Linked DNA regions of Notamacropus eugenii. The protein of the gene in region 2 purifies or fractionates together with the protein of the main gene of each other region. This does not show direct contact. Links are inferred from orthologs where the notes say so. Each region holds a gene or a part of one and is shown on either strand. Other genes may lie near its edges.

Region 1 (10,555 bases), on a different chromosome or scaffold from region 2:
AATTGAGTCTGACATGAACATCACAGACTACTATTTGATTTTGGTACATTACTGAAAATACTCCCTGAAAATGATCCTATTATGAGCTTTTTCTGGGGAAGTTTACCTCTCTAGAGAGGGCTGCATCCTCAGGAGAAATAATAAAGAGCTAGGAAACAAACTCACCGCATCTGTTTTCCTCTCACAGTCCACCGGCAACAATTTCACTAAGATCAAAAAGGAAACAGACAAGAAGTTAAAAGGGTGGCCAGTTGGGAAAAGAATTTAAGCCCTGAGACTCATGGTGAGCAGAATCTGATTGGCACTAGGAGATACAAACATGCTTCCTAGGTCAGATGTGGTTTTAAATGCCCAGTCAAATATATCCTTACATATTTGCTAGTAGGGAAAACCCATTGCTTCATTTGTAAGGCTGGCTACTTTGTATCCTTTATTTACAAATGTTTCTGTATCAAAGTTAATAGGACTTTGGGTCTGAAATCTTCCTCATGCTCAAAAGGCCTTAGTGTTTCTTGGCAATGATGCACAGCTGCCTACAACACAAGCCTCTCAGAGCTAGAAGGGACCATTTGATTCCAACTCCCTCATTATACAGGTGGGGAAACTGAGCCTTAGAGATATCAGGCTTCATACCACCAGCTTGACAGAGTACAGGGGAACCAAAGTTACAAAGAATCAGTTGAATTTGGGTCAGCTTCAGTTCTCCTGACAGGTCATTCCACTGCTAATCCTACCCAACGGGCATATCCCAGTCTACACATGTGTATTTCTTGGTCTGCTTTTAGACCAAACACTTTTTCAACTCATTCTTTTATCTTATATTCTAAATCAATTTGCATGGATACACCCAGGCAAATTTATGGCACCAGTTAAGGGGCAATTTGATTTTTTAAAGTTTATTTGAGGAACTTCTTGAGCTTCTCATAAAATGGTAAAGACAGCCTAAGCTTGTTCTTGGATACAGTCAATATTAATCAGGCAGAATTAGTTATCATGTTCTGCAGAAAATATTGAAAGTTGATAAATTATTTGATGTGTCACTTCACACTTACACTTATAAGGAAATAATATGTACATATGTGCATAATATCTCATTTCCTTTTAAGACTAAGACCTAGAGAAAAATATGGCAAATTTCTCTAGGAAAACACATGCAAATGCTCCATTCATCTTGTGGAGGAAATATTGAAATCTACATGACCTCCCCAGTTTGAGTCTGAGTGAAAATACTAGAACAGGGCATTACAGATGATAAAGGCCAGAATTTTCTTGACAATCAGTAACAGCTCAATAGAGGAAAAATAAATTGCTTTTGTGTATATAGAATTACATACAGGCATGAGACAAGCATAATTGGGAATTTTTTCTAAGTCATAGAATTAGGATATTAAAACAGGAGTGGGTGAGGAAAAGGAGGATGAGGAATAACAATAATCATTTACTGTAATCTTAACTATTAACTAACATTGTCATATGCCATTTAATTTAAAAAGTGAATTCCTCACAAAAACTCTGAGATAGTATATTTATCTCCATTTTCCAGATAAGGCAGGTGACTCGCCCACAGTCACATGGCTAGTTAAATGTAGAAGCCAGAACACAAATCCAGATGCTCTTTCTATGATACCATATGCATTCCTTTACACTTGTAACTTTACAAAGTACCTTCACATTTGCCATAGGCTAGCTGTGTGACCTTGGAAAATCACTCCCCATATTGGGGTCTGATTTCTCCTCTGTAAATCTAGAAAGTAGGAGTAGATGACCTCTGTGGCCCCCTCCAGCTCTCACATCTGATGATTCTAATGCCCTCTTAGTGATTTGAGGCATGTATTAACATCTCCACTGGACAGTAAGAAAATGGAAGTCACAGAGCTGAGTTAGTGGTATTGCCCTGAGCATTAGACGCAGATCACCTCACTTGGGAGAAGTGGTAAGGGAAGGACACAGTAGCCCAAGGCTACCACTATGAGCAACACTGTGTTTATGATTACCAGGGGGAAAACAGGTTAAAGACTGGGCAAGCTTGTTCTCTAGGGAGGGCTCTCCACTAGACAGGGAGTGAGAATCCAGGAAAGGGAGAGATTGAGGGTTAAGAGATTGAGGATAATGAAGTGTGTTACTAGGGGAAAGAACCTACCACTATTCTATTTAGCATCCTATTAGCAGGACTAGCTTCCTTAATCCCCTACTCCAGGAGCCCAGACAGTAGAGAACTGAGGACCATAACAAAGGAACACAGGCCCCTAACTCTGGCCCAGCATGTGGTAGAAGCAGGAATTAGGGGTAGAAATGACTAATGAAGACTTCCCCATCTCAAGAGCTGGAAAGACAGCAGCCAAAAAAAAAAAAACCAACCAAACTGAAAAGTTGAGAGCCCCATAGATAAGGAAAGAGGATAAATTATGAATCCTTTTCCACAGTAGCTGGTGACAGGGAGAATTTGGGCCAGTGAGAAAAGATTTGTTTTTTTCTCTCTCCTCCTCCACAGCAGCTAGTAGGGAGAGTAGGATGGTTATGAAAGTTTTATGGGCCTAGAGTTAAGAATTTCCAAGAACTACAATTCCTCTTGTACCCTCTCTGGACCTTTGGTGACTGGAGCCCTGGTTACAAGCATGGGGGTGGGAGGAAGGTTGAGAATTTAAATGAATGAAAATGAGAAAAGCTGTCTTCTTTCTCCTAACAGGTTGTGGAAGAGAATTAGTGGGAGTGTGGAGTTACTGGGCTGGAGATCAAAAGGAACACATTTCCCCTGGCCTCTCTGGTAGTGGGTATAGGAGAGGATGGTAGGCAGGGAGCTGGGACAGATAGATTTAGGAGAGATGAGAAACCCTGGCTCAGGTTCCTAATATGTAAAATGAGAGAGCTGAACAAGAAGACTTCAAAGGTCCCTTCCAGTTCTAAGACTCTAAGAACAGCCTGTAATGGGAAACTGCTGGATTTGGAGTCCGATGACCTGGGGTTCATATGCCAGCTCGGTCACTTATTAACTCTGTGACTTTAAGTCACTTACCTCTTAGGTTTATAGATTTAGGGCAGGAAGGGACCGACCTTAGAAGGTCACCTAGCCCATCCCCCTCATTTGACAGTTAGGAAAGGGAGACTCAGCAGAGCTGTGACTGTCCCAAAGTCACAGATGTAGCAAGTGGCCAAGGCGGCCCCAGGGGGGGTCTCTGACCCCAAATCCTGCACTCCCCACCGCACCAAGGTGCCCTCTCTGGGCTTCAGTTTTCTTCATCTGTCAAAGGAGGGGGCTGCCAGGTGGCAGTCTACGGTCCGTCCGGCGCGAAATCGTGGGAAAGAGAGGGGAAGGGGAGGTTGGATAGGGGGCTCCGGCCCCAGCGGCTGGGGGAGGGGAGGAGGGCGGCAGGTGAAGGAGGGAGGGGGCAGGACGGGGCGGCCACGTACTGTTCTCCTCCGCCTCCTGTGGCCGGGAGGGCCCCCCCATCTTCACCCACAGGATGCCCAGGAAGACGAGCAGAAGCGCCAGGCTGGCCCAGCACAGGAGGCGCGACAGCCAGCGCTCCAGCCGCCGCCCCACCTCCGGCCTGGGCCGGGGCCGGGGCCGGAGGCCCCCGTACGCAGCCGGGCTGCGGGCCGGGGCCGAAGCCGGGGCCCACCAGCGGCGGGAGCCGGCGCTCGGGGCGGGCCGCTCGTCCTCCTCGGAGCTGTCCCGCTCCCGCTCCCGCTCTCGGCCGGGGCGCCAGGAGAAAGTGTTGCGGGCCCCCGAGGCTGCGTGGTGGATGCTCGGACGGCTCCCGGCCCAGGATGCGGAGGAGGAGGGGGCGGAGGTGGCCCCGAGCCCCGGGCGAGCGCCCGGCCCCAAGCCCAGGCCCGGGCGGGCCGCCTCAGGCCGCAGCAGCCCGGCGCCGGGCCTCGCGCGCAGCCGGGCCTCGCCTCGCAGCCGCTGAAGCTTGTTGAGGTAGACGTCCCGGGTGGTGTCGGTGATAGGCCCGGGCTCGAAGCCCAGGGCCTGCAGCTCCCGCCGCAGCTCGAGGTCCGACCGCCCGGCCATAGCCGCGCAGCCGCTGCCGCCGCACCCGCGCGCCCACCCCCGGAACTGCTCCCGCCGCTGCCGGAGCCCGAGCCGGGCCCGGGCGGGGAGGGGCGGGGCGGCCCGCGGCGGCAGCCATGCTGGGGAGGTCAGCCGCCATCTTGGGGCGGTCCGGACAAGGCTGGGGAAGGGACCGCCATGTTGAGAAGGTCTAGTCGAGTCTGATTGGACGTTCGAGGAGTATGTTTAATCCCCTCGGTGCACGCGGACGCCATGTTGTGGAGGTCCGCTTCCCTGTACAAGGTGGAACTGCCATGTTGGGGAGGTCACTGACGTTTCCCTGGCCTGGATTTCGATTTGACGGGTCCCTACCGCACAGTGGGCGGAACCAACCAGTTCTTTGTACGCTTGAGGGAATTAGGCTTAGGGAGGTTAGGTGATGCGTCCAAGGCCACACAGCCAACAAGTGGCAGAGCTTGAGTCAGGTCCAGGACTGTCTGTCTTAGCAGCCAGATCTGTTCAGAATTGTGTCCTTGGGGAGGTGGGGGACAAGTTGCACCCCCTCCTTCTCTTCCCTTTGGGGGACCGTCATCCATCCCACCAACCATCCAGTCAGCGATCATATGAGAAATATATGTATGAACACAAAGATGAATCTGCCACTGAAGCCCTGCTGTGGCATGGAGGTGACCTTGGGAGCAGGCTGTGCCAGCAGGGCATGCGGTAAGGCAGGTCTTGTCCCACTTGGCCTTGGAGGTGATGGAGGCCAGCGATGGACTTCCCCGGGGGCCCAGGCCCTGGCATTTGCCTGAGTGGTCCAGCCCACTCAAGTGTAACCCTTTCCACTGTCCTTTCACTGTGGCCCTCCCGCCCAGCCCAGCCTTCCACTGTCTGCCCCTGGTAGGAGGCTACTTGCCCCTCCTTCATCCCATGCAGATTTTCTCACAGTCTTTCTGTATAAAAGTACCAAGATTCTTAGAATTTGCACAGTTTAATGGAGGTTTTGAAAGGACTATGGGCTGGGGGACTGGGCTGTGTGGGAAAATCCTGGGGTTTTTAAGGGGATATCATTAGTGCCCCATCAAAGGGACATCAGGGGGCATCCTGCACTCACTAGCTTTGGAGGTATTCATCACTGCCAGAGGCAGGGCTGTCTCCTGCGACTCTTGGAACCAAAGACTTAGAGCATCTACTAATGTTTCATTTCACCAATAAAACAAAAACAAAAGAAAAAAAAACTGAGAGGATCCTCTGATTCTGTTAAGTGACTTCTCCAAGGTCAATCAGTAAGTAGCAGAACAAAGATTTAAACTAAAGTTTCCTAATTCTAAATCAAAGACTTGCCCATTATACCATGCTGCATAAGGACTATCTACTAAAAAGGCATTTGGAGTAATACACTTTCCTTGAGTTTTCTGGGTTTGAATCCTGGCTCAGACCTAGCTGTATGACTCCCTCAGGCAAAGTATTTAACCTTTCTGGGCTTTTTTTTTCTCATTGATAAAATTAGAAGGTTGAACTTTATTACCTCTGCATTCTCTTCCAGCTCTGAATCAGTGATCTATGACCTTTCTCTGTAAAATGAGGGGTGAGGATTAGGTGACTTTTTAAGACCCCTTTGGGATCAAAATCCTGTTCTCCAGCTCTCCTTCCATTTTCCTCATCACCCTTTTCATTCCACTCATCTCCTTCTGTTCCCCACCCCCACCCCCTTCCCCTTCAATCCCATTATATTCTCTCCTTCCCCCCTCCTTATCCTATCATTCAGCACCATGGGCAGGGAACCTGGAGTAGATGCTTTATATTCGTGCTACTTTGAGTACCACAGGGGCACTCCAACACTGGTCACAACTGCAGAGAAAATTACAGTCTTAGGCTGGTCAGGCTTCTGTTGTTAGCTTCCAAATCTCTCCTGACTTAGCCGCTCCCATGTGGTGTGATTTCTCTCACCAAGTGTTGTTTTCCTTTTCTCCGCCTGTGTTTGTATGGAATGCCATGAATTTGATATAGTGATTGCCTAACACATATACCACATAATAGTATTCTATTTCTTTCCAAAGCACTGTTTGCATGACAAATGAGTTGGTAACATTTATGCAATTCCTTGAAGCTGTGCAGTTCAGTGTATAAAGAATGAGCTTTTGGGGTATCATACTAGCCCTGTGTATTGTAAGGGCATGAGACTGATGGCTTAAGCAAAGTTAACAAACAGCAGTTGGCAGAATGATGGCATCTGTCTTCAGAGAAGCTTTCAGTATGCCTAAGTAAATAAATAAATAAACAGATGCTGTGCCTGAGCCACTCCCCCAGGGCATACAGTGTTGCTTTCTTGCATTTGAGGATGCTGACTTGTACAAGCAACCCAAGAGACACATGATCCGAAGACCTTTCTGGACTGACTATAAAGATTCCCTCACTGACAAGAGCCCTGCAGTTACTACAGGTGAACCTGAGAACTTTTTGAACTCCCTCTTCACCATATGTGGCTTTGTTACTTTTCTCTCCAGATCAATGCAGCCCTGACCCAGGTGCTCATAGCCCTGCCACGTTGTTTCAGATTTTATTTTATCATATGGCTCAATTCAAGCTAAAACAATTTATTAAACACATGTGCAAAGCACTGTGTTAAAGCTGGGAATACATAAATAGATATATTGGGAATTTCATTTAAGGAGCTTACATTCTGCTGGAGGGCAGGGGAAGGTATATACCCAAATAACTATGATAGTGGGATCATAGGGTCATAGATTTAGAGTTAGATCAGGTGGGCATCCTCTCCCCTCCTTCCCCCATGTGTAAACTCAGATCCAGTGAGATTTAATGACTTTTCTAATGTCCGAGCTAAATGTGGCAGAATATGAATCAGAACCTTTGATTCCAAAACCAATGCACTTTTTATGATCTGGTGAGACAAATACAAAGGACTAGTCCTATCAAAATTCTATAATAAATTTGAGGCAATTTGAGCTATCACCTTCACCTGAGGATATCAGAGAAAGCTTCTTGAAGGAGGTGGTAACTAAGTTGAACCTTGAATCGAGGGACTTCAGTAGATAGAAATGTAGGTGTGTGGAAGTGCATTACTTGAGTAGGGGGGAGGTTGGGATGGGACAGTAGAAGACTGGAGAGTCAGATTGTAAATTTAGAACTAGAAGGGATCTCAGAAGCCATTGTAATTCAACCCCCACATTTTACAAATGAGGAAACTGAGGCCCAGGGAAGTTAAATGGCTTGCATGAAGTTGCACAGGTAGTAAGCATCAGAGGTAGAATTTCAACCCAGATCCTCTGAATTCAGAGCCAGTACTCTTTTCCACACTGCCTCCCAAAGTACATAAAAGGGAGCTAGTAGGAAATAAAAATAGGTTGGAGCTAGATTCAAGGACCAGGATTTTATATTTATTCAGTAGGTAGTGGTGAGTTTACTGAAGGTTTTTCCATAGAAGAGTCACACATTAAGAAATTTGCCTGGACAACTACATGAAATTGAAGAGGTAAAAGTTGAGTCCAGGAGACCAAGTTGGAGGCTCAACCAATTTGGAGGTTCTCAGGGAATGAACGAAGATGGTGGCAATGAGAGTGGGAAGGAGGGACTGAGATAGGAGAATGCAGAAGTAGAATGAAAAGGCCTTGATAATGTTCAAGTATATGATGTGAGAGAGACGGAGGAGTATTGCATAAGTACAAGAGAGAGAGAAATTGGGGAGGGGTAATGATCCCTCTGGGGAACTAACAGAGACAAAGAAAGTGCTTCTTAACCTATATTAGTTATCATCCTGCCGCCTGACCTAGTCTTTTCTTCTTCACAGTTCCCTTAAAGAAGGTGGTTATTTTAGGTTTACTACTTTTTTTGTTTAATCCCTCCTTTCTTCAAAAAGGAAGATCAAAAGTCAATGTTTTACCCTACTTCTGCCCTGCCCCTATACTTAACATTTTTCTCATGAACTTGTGCTCTGACCTTGTACATTCTCTGACTTGGAAATACCTCCCCAGTCCTAAATAACATTGGCATGTCCCCAAGGCTCCCTTTAGCCATTTTACTAAGTCAATCAATGTGTTTCATGCTGCTTTCCTTGATCTAACCATCAGAACACTTCATTCACATCTTTCCAAGTCTCATTACACCTGTTTTGCTGGAGGAACTGAACTCTGGCTTCCAGTGTGCTTGGTAATTCTGAAAGTATCAACGTTTCCCCTCAGTATGGTCTTTCTTGCCATAGCCCATTGTCAGAAGCAGTACAAGGATTTTCAGGGGTTCTTGGAACCTGGTTTCTGATGTCTGCAATATTAGTTTAGTGCATGGGCCTATCTTTGATGTTAATGCATATTTTAAGACAAATGAAGCTCTTGCAAAGTCACAAGTTATCATCCTCTCTGCCCTCCTTTTTCATTCACTTTAGTGTGTGTGTGTGTGTGTGTGTGTGTGTGTGTGTGTCTATGTTTTTCAGGTGAACCACTCAGGCCAGGGCAGGTCTTCCTGATTTATTAAAGGCAGAAATGGGAAAACAAACTTCAGTTTCTTAATCTACTTAGCAACCACATGCACACATTTAACAGAGGTGAAAGGTTTCTTAAAGAAGACTCCAGTGATCCTTGAGGAATGCAATGCTAACTTCTCTTAAGCTGACCTCTATCCAGCACAGCATAACCTTATAATAATATTGCCCATCAATTTTTTAGCAAGTTATACTCTCCCTCTTTTCCTCTGAAAATACTTAGAGATTCATCCGTTCCACAGAGATTTCAAGTGCAATGATTGCCTAGGGAGTCCTTTCCTTGGAATATCTAACCATTCCTTTGGCCTTCTCAACCTGGAACATACCCTCTGCCCTCTTCTCCCATTGATAAGTTTCTCCTCTTTCTAACATTTTGTTGAGGGGCCCCAAACCATCCTTCATTCTTCTGGCCATGTTCCTGACTGGTTTTCAAAACCATGCCCCATACCAGGTAACTCCATCTCCCTCCCTCCCCTTCTCCCTTCTCAGCTCCCTTTTTGTGTGTTGTCTTCCCACTTTAGATTGTGAGCTCCTTGAGGCCAGGACTGGCTTTCTTTTTGCTTGTATTTGAATTCCCAGTGCTTAGCCCAGTGCCTGGTACACAGCGAGTATTTAATAAATGCCTTTTTCCTTCTTTCCTCTATCTTTCTGTTCTGTACTAAAATGTATCTTGAGTAGCTGTAGGGAAGTTGTTGCTGGAGACTCAGGAATGTAAGAGTGCTGAGTGTCCTTTCTGGGGAACAAGACTGAGTCTGGGTGAACATGGGATTTGGAGTGTGAGGGGCTAAATTTAGCTGCAGCTCCATCATTTTTATACTTGTGTGATCTTGGACAAGACCTTTAACCTCTCTGGGCTGCAGTGACTTCACCTTTAAAATGAGAGGATTGAAATAGATGACTTTTGAGGTCCCTTTCAGCTCTTGATCTGTGATCTGATGACCTCTGTAAAATTCCCTAGTCTTTATTTGTGGGGCTTTATGTGTGTTGTACCATGAGGAAACAATGTGATTTTGAAGTTGGAGGAAGCAATGAAAATCTTTTCATTTGACAGCTTTTGATTTATAATGAGGACCTGGGAGGTTTATTACCTTAGCCCTCACTTTAACTCTGTGTTAAATTTCCATTCGTTCATTTACTCATTCATTCAACAAGCATGCATTCAGGTCCTATTCAGGTTCTAGGGGGTCATAAAAATTTAGATAAGAGGGGCTTTCTTTCCTTTTGGAACTTTTGGTTTAGTTGGGGCATAAGACACGAGGCAAGTAACTGTAATATACGATGAGCACTTTTTAGTTGTTTCTCTTGACTAAAGTATGCAATTATTACATATGATGATAGCTTGCTTTTATATGCTGCTTTAAGGTTTACAAAGCTCTTTAGCCTCTCCACAACCCTGGGAGGTAGGTGCTATTATTATCCCTATGTTACAGATAAGAAAACTGAGGTAGACAGGTTAAGTGACTTGTACGGAGTCACACAGACAGTATTTGAGGCTGGATTTGATTTCTGAAACCAGGTCCACTTCTTTATTCATTGCACCCCCTAGCTGCCCATGTACATATATACAAGAATCCATGAAAATTCTTTCCTAATAAATTGTACAAAACAAAATGTTATGTAAGGGCACATGTGAATAACTGGGGGAATCAGGGAAGCTTTGAAGAGGAAGTAGCATTTGAGATGAGCTTTAAAGGATGGCTAGGAATTCAATAAGTAAAGAAGAGGAGGAAGGGCATTTTAGGTATGGGGATAATATGAACAAAGGCATGGGAGAACATAAGCCCAGTTTTAAAAGGATTAGAGAGTGGACTAGTTTGATGGAATGTGGAGTGTTTGGAGGGGAAGCGGTATCCCACCTGAGGTTCTGTTCTCAGCCTTTCTCTTTTCTCTTGGGTTTACCCTCTCTGAATGGTCTCATTACCTGTCTGACTTCATGCAAATGACTCTCACCTCTATATATCCAGCCTTCATCTCTCTTCTGAGGCCAGTTCCCCATCACTGCTTATTGGACATCTCCAACTAGACAGTCCTTTAGGGGTCTCAAACCCAACACATCCAAAACAGTA
Region 2 (9,599 bases):
ACATGGTGGTCATGTCCAAGGATTGGGAGGGAGGGAGAGAAAGGTGGAGAGATACGTGTGTAACAGGAACTGAAATGGACATTGACTGGGATATGTTGGATTCTTTAGCCCTTCATGGATCTATTCCTAAACCTGTTATTCCACTTTTTCCCCTTTAGGGCATTTCTCCCATGAGTCTTCCCTTTTCCTGAGTCCAAACCCTTCTCTACTCAGAGGTCAAGTGAAGCCTTCCCTAAAGGGAGCCCATCTGAAGACTGCCCTACTCTGAGATCCATCTTTCCCTTTCATCTCTAGTCTCAACCCCCTACTCCTTACCAGAGAGAGTGAGGTTCCGTGACTCATTGCTATGAAGTCGGAAGACGAAATCAATGAAGTACTGGGGACTGGGCAGGACATGGAAGCAGGACCCAGCTATGGCATGGTCCAGGAGGGCAGCCAGAGCCTGGCTTGGACCTTGGCTCTCAGTTCCCTGGGCTCCTGCTGCTTCCTCCAAAATCTGGTGTATGTCCACACAACTCTGAGAATCAGAGATCAACACTCAGGCCCCTCCTCACCCCAGCTCACTTACCTCTTCTCCTCACCACCCTCCTGGGGTGGTGGTGGCACCCCATTACTTATGTGGGGGGTTGAGGGTGGGAATGAGGGAAGGCAGATGGCCCCCACATACACATTTCCAGCCCTGACTTCTCTCATGAGCTCCAGGCCCACACCTCCAGTGGCCTAGAGATCATCTCCATCAAGATATCCAACTTCACATACATATCCCTAACTCAGCTTGTTTCTTACCTCTCCCCCTGTAACTCTTCCTCTGGCATCATGGACCTAATCACCCAGGGTTTAAACTCAACCCCCTTCTCTCTGAGCTTCCATATGCATTCAGTCCTCAAGTCCATCCTCTTGATTCACACTGCTACTTCCTTAGTTCAAGCCTTAGACCTTGGGCCTAGACTTCCAACCAGCCTCCAGGCCCTTCCCTCTCCAAATCCACCTTTGCAGAACTTGAAGACCACTCTTCCCACTGCACACAGCATCAGGATTTAGAGCTGCTAGCACCTTTCAGATCATCTTGTCCCTCCTTTAAAACCTTTAACAGCTCCCCACTGCCTACAGGATAGTCCAAGCCCCTGAGCTCAGAGTCCAACCTCCCTTCCCAACCCACCCAGTTTAAAAATGATGGAATTGAGGTCCAGAGAGAAGGAAAGAGACATTCCCAAGAGCACAGAGCTCTTCCCTTCCATATGCCTTGTGCTTTCCCCCTGTCACAACACTGCCCTCACCTGGCCTGGCTCTCCTTGGTAGTGCCTTTGGATCTGCTGAAGAAGTTGGTTCAGGATGTTGGGGTAATGGACCCCAGCAGAGGCCAAGGAAGCCAGGAAGCTCTCTGCCTGTGAGCCCCAGCTGCCAGCCTGGATAGCAGCACAAGTGCTCTCTGGATCCCGGAGGTAGAGAGCGATTCCTGCACAGAACTGGGTCACATTCTGGGAACTCAGAATCCCACCCTGCCCAGCCAGGGCCAGGGCATTCTCCACTGTCATGCACTGCAGGCACAAAAAGTCAGTCCTAGAAGTTAGGGGAGTAATCAGGGGAGTTTGGGAAATAAGCATTTCAATAGCCATTTTTACAAATACTTTCTCAGTTGGTCTTCACAACAACCCTGTAAGGTAGGTGTTATTATTATCCCCATTATACAGTTGAGGAAACTGAGACAGAAAGAGATTGAGTAGCCTACCCAGGGTCAGGCAGTTAACAAGTATCTGAGGTGGTATTTGGACTCCTGACTCCAGGCCCAGCTCTCTGTCCACTGCCCCACCTCAGAGGAAGAAATCTCCAGTGCTCCCCTGGGTTAGCCCTATCCTTTCCTTTCCTGGGAATCCTTGTCTTACCCATCCCCCACATCCTGCCCCCACCATTCCAGTGGCTCTAAGCTACACCCAGTTATTCCAAGCCTTAACACCAACCCCAGGGCCTCCAGGATGAGGCCACAGCATGGGACACATGCACTTCCAGGCATTGAGTCAGGAAGTGAGATTGTGTGCCCCTGTGCTCACAAACTCTAGTGTATGTTCGTCCTTTGTTGCCAAAGAAGACCACGCCATCAGAGAAATGATGACATGACTTGCACTTGACTTGGTTTTGAGCGACGGAGGGCTGTGCAGTTCACCAGCCTCACTTCTCCTCCAGAGCCATCTGAATCCAGTGACCAGATATTCATCAGGATGACTGGAGATGACCCAGGATGAAGCAATTGGGGTTAAGTGATTTGCCCAAGGTCCCACAGCTAGTGAGTGTCAAGTGTCTGAGGTGAGATTTGAACTCAGGTCCTCCTGACTCCTGCCCTGGTGCTCTATCCACTGCACCACCTAGGTGACCCCTGCTCACAAACTAAAAAAACAACAGAAAGGAAGGAAAGCCCCCTGGCCCTACAGGTGGGAAGTCCCATTGTAGACTCCGGGAGTGCTGTTCCCTCTGCCTCTATCTTTCCCTGTCCCACAGACATAAAGTACTCTCTCACACAAAGTACTCAGAGCTCTGTTGACCACCCCTGTACAGAGGAGCCATGTCTTCCTCTTACACATATGAAGCTTCCTGTTGGGGCAGCTAGGTGGAGCAGTGGATAGAGCACCAGGGCAGGAGTCAGGAGGACCTGAGTTCAAATCTCACCTCAGACACTTGACACTCACTAGCTGTGGGACCTTGGGCAAGTCACTTAACCCCAATTGCTTCATCCTGGGTCATCTCCAGTCATCCTGATGAATATCTGGTCACTGGATTCAGATGGCTCTGGAGGAGAAGTGAGGCCGGTGAACTGCACAACCCTCCTTCACTCAAAACAAAGTCATGTGCAAGTCATGTCATCATTTCTCTGAAGCCATGGTCTTCTTTGGCAATTAAGGATGAACGCACATGAAGCTTCCAGAACAAGATGGAAGGGTGCTCTCCCACTCCCTTTCACACACACACACACACACACACACACACACACACACACACACACACACGAGTGCCAGCTCTCCCATTTACTCATGAACACAGATGGGAGACTTATTGCAGCCTCTCACTCAGAGGAGAGGGAGAGAGGACAACATAACAGTCACTGGCCCCTAGGCACCATCCACTTCTGGCCGAAGGATGACTTTAAGCCTCTCAGCTAAGAATCCTAGGGAGAGGATTGGGCCCTGGGGGGAAGTCTGGAGTCTCAAGGGAAAAAGGAAAAAGAGGGGGAAGGAAAAAAGGGGGAAGAAAGGAAAGAAGAGACACTAGTGTGTCCCAGGCCCCAGACTTTCCTGCCTTAGTAGAGCACAAGCTACTCTCTTTTCCCATAAAGGTCAGCCCAAGTGTGCCCACCCCTCTCTATGACCAGCTCTTCCCACCCCCGTTTCCTAAGGTAGCATTGGATGGCAAAAGCCTGGCTCCTTTCTGCCCTGTCCCCCATTTCAGCTTCCCATCCCAGGCTAAGCCCCCTCTCAGTCCCTGGGTCCTCCTCTCTCCTGGAGCACTGGTAAAAAGTGATAGGTTGAGGTGGACCCTCTAGGGCCCCTTTTCTTCCTTGGCTGTCCCTTGCCTGCCAAGACACCTAAGTCTTGTCATCTCCTATCTTCTCCCCTCCCTCCCTCTTGGAATTTGTCCCCTTTGCTCCCCGCACTAGTTAGGGGTGGGGTAAGCAGAGGGAGGTTAAAGCTATTTGCTGTCTCTTACCTTTCCACACGGCTCATCTAGGCATTGCACACGGGCCGCCAGTGTATTTAACAGGGAGCCCAGGGCAGCCTGGTCCAAAGAACTTTGGTTGGAGGTGAGCACGTTTAGTAGACTGGCAGGTCTTGGGGTAGTCCCCAGGGCTATCCCCAGCCATACCCCCAGCCAGAGACAGACCACACTCCGCATAGCTCAGGTTTCCAGAAGATTCTTGACAAGGGTCAGGTTAGGTTTGGGGAGGGGTGGATGGTGCTAAAGGATTTCCTGGAGGTGGAGGCAGAGGTGGGGATTTGGAGGGCTGGGCTATGGATCTCTGCGGGCCTGGCTGAACGGGTGAGTGGGGACCCCCTCGTGCAGATCTTGGTCTCAGGAAGAGGAGAAATAAGAGGACTGTACTGCAACTAGCCACAAGAAGTCCTGGGCTAGGGCAGGGCTGAGCTGTAGGATTCTTGGGGAATCTCCCAAGTAGGTATTTCCTGCCAGGCACTGTGATTGGCTGCCACCCAGATGGCCCCAGGTTAACCATTCCAGTAGTTGATCCTCCCTAGATAGAACAGTCGGAACTATCCAGTCACCATGGCCTCATTCCCTCTCCCAAAACTCAGCTTCACTTTTTTGAGGGGGCCTAAACTTTTAAGTCTTTTTGTCCCTACCCTTTCCACTATGTTTCATGGACCTACAGCATTATTTCCCAGGCCCAAGACCCTATGCAATATCTCTCTCCCCCCTCTCCTTTTCTTTCCTTTCTCCCTCCCTTCCTCCTTTTCCTTTCTTCTTTCCTTCCTTCCCCTCTGGATCCATATCTTGTTATGCAGCCCTTTGTCCTGTGAGATCTGTTCCTCTCACCTGTATCTACAGAAAGCCATGAAAGCCTGGGGACGGTTCAAGGTCTCCTTCCTGGACTACCCAGGAGCTCATCCAACTCTGATCAGACCATGATACTGATGCAGGTAGGCAGACATTATACAAAGATACACACAAATTTACATAAACATATGGATAGGCAAACTCAGATTTACACAAAATACAAAGAGAAACAGAAATAGTCTTGTTTTTAAAAGTTTGGTTCCTTAGACCAGTCAGGCTTGGCCCAGACAGGGTGAGAGAGCAACAAACTTTCCTGAATTTCCTCCTGTCCTCTGGGCCATATGCTTTGGGGAAGGCAGGGGAAAATTGGAATTCTCCTTTACCCTTCCCTTCTTCCAGAGTCACATCTGAGAAATTCTCTTGGCAGCAGATCTACGTTTGGGTGAGGAAATAGAAAGAGAAAAGGGTTGGGCTAGGAGAGTGACTAGAGGAGAGAAGGTTTTTGCTGTCATGGAGCCAAAGCACACAATTCGTGGGGGTTTCCCAGCACTGGGCAGGGAGCTGCAGACACTTCCCCTCCATCCTGTCCTCCCCTCACTTTCCCCTTCTCCAAACTCTTTCTCGGCTGAGTAGAAGCAGTATGGGAGTGGCAACTAGAATTCCTGAATTTTGCCATTTCATTCCACTCTTTCACAATTCTAAATACCAGAGTTTGGGGGTAGGGTGTGGTAGGTCGGTGAACTTGTTGTTAGGAACTGTTACTAGGGGACCTCCGAGACCTTGTAATATCTGAAAAGAATTCGCTTTATGACACACCTAAGTGGCCATTCAATTTTCTTTTGAAGACCGCCTGCTAGGAGAAAACCCATTTTGTCCTTTCCAAATTTAGATAGCTCTCCTTATTTGGAAGTTTATTCCGCTATTTAGCCCCATTTTTACTGCTTTACCGCTCCCACCCATTGTGCTGGTTTTGTCCTCAGGGGTTATCTTTCCCAGTCTTTCCCAGATATGCATCCTGTCCTATCACATTTGTACTTCTCCAGTATACTTGAGGAGAGGAGATAAGCTAGGACTCTTGGGCAGGTTAATAGTAAAGGGGCTCCTGGGGTCCCTGGCTAGGGATGGGGTAGAAGTTTTGAGTCAGGGCCCTAGACTGGTCAGTTAGGGAGAGATCGCCAGCGTCCTGAGAGATTTGGTAGACTCCACAAAGCCTGGTCAAGGAACCTGAGCCAATCAGTGGGGGAGTTCAGGGATGCTGATTACAGGTTCTGGGGTTCCAAGTGTATTGCTGTCACCCAGGGAAGGTAGAAACTGCTGCTGGTGCTGCTTCTCAGAGCCAGAGCCAGAGATCTGGGGCATGACTAGGGAAGACAAGAAGCTCATTGCTGATGGTTAGTTACTGTCCACCTGCTCCAGTTTCCTGACTGGGAGCCTGTGTCCCACAGATAAGGTCCCAGTACAGCCATACTTTTTATGGGCATGCATGTGGGAAGATTGAGAAATAAAGGATATGAGGGATAAGGTGTCCTGCGGGGGGAGGGGGAGTGCCTTCCAATTCTAACATACATGGACATTGAGCATGGTGGTAGATCTCAGGGAGGAGGGAACAGAAAACAGCCTTTATTTTACCAGAGTAATGACAGTGCCTTCCCTAGAGTGTCTAAGACTTCTCTGTGGTTGCTTGAAGCTAGGCTCACAGAGGACAAAGGTTCAAGGAAACTATGTCCAAAGGAGGGGGAGGTTGGGCTGGAAAGGTAAGGGTCAAAGTTGGCATACTTCTGGCCAAGCCCTCTCATCTTATCAGCCTCTCCCTGGCCTTTGCCCACCAGATTTTATCAGACGCTATTTAGCCAACTCAGCAGGTCTGGGCCCCAGAGCAGCCAGAAGAAGGGGTAAGTCATCAGGTGGGGTCAGTCATTGTTTAGCAGTTTCTGGCTCCAAGAATTCAGATAAGCCAGTCAACTAGACACCCTATACTTCCAGGTGGAGACAGGCATTGTTGGAATGGTGTAGTCCACATTTATCAGCCACTTTTTTACCCCCATTCCCTCTCCAAATACACCCTGAGGAAGTCCTGGGATACTGTCTTGTTCTAAGTCAAGTAGAATAGCCTACCAGAAGCTGCTTCTAGGTACTGTTATGGTGTTAAGGTGGAATAATGATACTGAGGAGTTACGGGCAGATGATTTATTTAGCAATGAATGATACTGCAGAAACAAATCCAGTCTAAGGCTCTTAGTTTGCATAAGAACTAAGACTATTGGTGTCTACAGCCATTACATCTGGGCAACAGGATAAACCTAGGCAAGCTTCCCCACACTATTTGGCATGATGCCTCACTATTCTCGTAGGGAACAGGTAGAGTGACTTGCATATACCCCAAGACCTTTAGAGAGAAGCATCCCCGTGATAATCAAAGTCTCAGGGGAAAGAGAAGCACTTTCATCATACTTCAGCTTCCCCCATCTTGTGTGGGAGAGGACATATCATATCTTTCTGGTCCACAGCTGGGTGAACATTAATTCTAGAAAGGCCATTTGACTCCTAGCCATTCAACACTTCAGTTTTAGTTCCCAAAGTTCCAGTCATTAAGAGCAAATGTCCAAAGAAGCCCAAGGGTGCTAGAAAGTGTTAGAAGTAACTCACTGGCAACTGCCCTTTATGGTAATCCTGAGCCTTTTTCATCTTCCTTTGATGCCTAAAGATACAGAAAATTGCTGGAAAAAACTGCCAATAGTGCATTCAAAAGCTTAACGTCTATTTGGAAACATATCTATGAGAGCAATAACAGAGAAATGCAAACCAAGGCAACTTTAACCTAACCTTACCTGCGCAAGACAGGTAAACAAAATGAAGACCCTTTGATCTAGCAATGCTACTGCTAGGTCTAGATCCCAAAGAGATCATAAAAAAAGGGAAAAGGGCCCACTTGAACAAAAATATTTATAGTAGTTCTTTTTGTGGTGGCAAAGAATTAGAAATTGAGGGGATGACCATCAATTGGGGGATGACAGAACAAGTTGTGGTGTAGGAATCCTATGAAATACTATTGTTCTATAAGAAATGATGAGCTGGCAGATTTCAGAAAAACCTGGAAAGACTTCCATGAGCTGATGCTGAGAGAAGTGAGCAGAACCAGAACATCGTGCACAGTAACTGTAAGACTGTATGATAATCAGCTTCGATAGACTTAGCTCTTCTCTGCAATACTATGATTTAAGACAATTCCAAAAGACTCATGATGGAAAATGCTATCCACATTCAGAGAAAGAACTATGGAGTCTGCATGAGGATCGAAACCTACTATTGATGGGGTTCAGACTCTGGGAACCTCCTCGAACTTCCCTGAAATCTTCCCACTTAATGTGGCCTTTCATACTCAAATCTGTGGCGCTTGGCCTAGCCTGGCCTTCCATTGTCTGTTACCTCTGGATTGCCCCACCTGCGTCCCACCCAAGCCCTCCATTGTTCCATATCTCTTGTTTGCCTCCAGCTGTTTCTAACCCTTGACCAGTCACCCCACTCCCATTGACCTCCTCCTAGGACTTCTCAAAACCCTCCCTAAATTCCTCCTCCCATCACCCTAGCCTACCAGACCACCCCCAGATCCCTCCTACAGTCCTTTTCTGTATTCAAGTTCCATCTCGCCTTCATGAAAGCACTTGAATTCAATCCAGCTCAGACTCTCTCTGAGATTCTATCTGGCCTACTTGCGTTACAAATGCTTAGACTCCTTAAAAGTCAACCCAATAGGGCAAATCTTTAATAAACTTTGTTTTTCTTTGGCTTTAAGAAGGTTTGCATCAAATTCATTCGAGCAGGAACTGGCATGTCAGTATTTCGGGGTCCCCACCACCCTGAACCTCAACGCTATTATCTCTTTTTAAAAAAAATTTTTTTCTCTTGGTTTTTCCCTTTTGTTCTGATTCTTCTTTCACAACATGATTAATGTGGAAATGATGGGGTTTGGAATCTGGGAGCCTCCTGGAATCTTCCCACTTAATCTGGCCTTTTTTACTCAGATCTAATCTTCCCATTTGTTCTGCCAGTCTCTGGAAGTCTATGGGTGTTGGGGTCCCCTAGACCATTACGGGAATCCCTAAACCACGACCCAAGGCTCATGTCCAGCAAAAGGCCTTGATTTGGTGAGTAATGAAATGAGGTATGAGACAAGGTGGTGAGAACTCTGTTTATTCCAGCTAGCTCACATGCATATATAGTCTTAATTATGTGAACATTCCTAAGCCTATACATTGAACCTATCACCTAACATTATTCCTGTTGACCTGAAAACTTGGTTAAAGAAAAGGCAACAGGCTAAATGCATACATTTTATGATTTAATTAATTAATTGATCAATTCCCTATTAAAGACAACCGTAACATAATCCATTATGGAGTCAGAAATCTTCTGGCTTATATACATTTTGCTGTCAGAAAGGAACTCTCCGAGTTGAACAAATCATAAATTTAGTAAGACAAGACAATTAACAAAGTAATGTTGGTCAGGCCTTGCGATTCCAGGCTGGGTAAACATATGTCTCGGTGACAAGGAAGGAAATCCCACCGCTAGTGAGTGGCAGGCTTCCTGCCCTAAACAGATAACTGACATAGGAAAGGGTAAACAAAGTTCAATAGAAATTATGACCTAAGATGTCTATATTTTCTTTACCATTAATATGCCATAACATAGTATATGTCTATAGATAATAAGATATAAAGGAAAGTCCCATTATTCAAGATAGTGTCTTAGGTTAAAGGTCTCCTAAGGAATGTAGAGTCAGCCTTGGCTGGCTTTGTTGACATAGGAAGAGGCACCCTCTGAGTTTGCTTCAGAGAGAACAAAGAGATTATTCCAAAATTTTATATTAAACATTATCATTTCTTATATGGGTGTCTTCTCCACTGGACATCCAGAACTGGACAAAGAACTGCCACGTTGCCAACAAAGACGAGACCCTTCCTCCTGAAATCCATCTAGTTCCACCCCTACTGAGAAGCCCCCAGGTTATCTAGGCAGGCTCTCAGTGTGGTGTCCTGCGATGGACAGGGGTCGGCTCTAACTCGTCCCGTTACGTATGGGCTTTTCATTATTGCTGT

Evidence for each region. Proteins that work in one complex are often made in the same cells at the same time.
Region 1: the proteins of SLC39A4 (region 2) and LEMD2 purify together in Homo sapiens (affinity purification with mass spectrometry; 3 studies listed by BioGRID and IntAct, counting the BioPlex papers as one, with this or other methods). This does not show direct contact. The link is inferred for Notamacropus eugenii from reciprocal best matches to the Homo sapiens genes SLC39A4 and LEMD2.

The regions. Positions count from the first base shown.
Region 1 is NC_092873.1:89,850,785-89,861,339, forward strand, and holds the start of LEMD2 (LEM domain-containing protein 2), read right to left. Parts: upstream 4,066-10,555; 5' UTR 4,016-4,065; coding exon 3,409-4,015; intron 207-3,408; coding exon 166-206; intron 1-165. UniProt on the Homo sapiens protein: Nuclear lamina-associated inner nuclear membrane protein that is involved in nuclear structure organization, maintenance of nuclear envelope (NE) integrity and NE reformation after mitosis.
Region 2 is NC_092875.1:86,831,246-86,840,844, forward strand, and holds the start of SLC39A4 (zinc transporter ZIP4), read right to left. Parts: upstream 4,018-9,599; 5' UTR 3,883-4,017; coding exon 3,697-3,882; intron 1,539-3,696; coding exon 1,278-1,538; intron 518-1,277; coding exon 316-517; intron 1-315. UniProt on the Homo sapiens protein: Selective transporter that mediates the uptake of Zn(2+). Plays an essential role for dietary zinc uptake from small intestine. The Zn(2+) uniporter activity is regulated by zinc availability.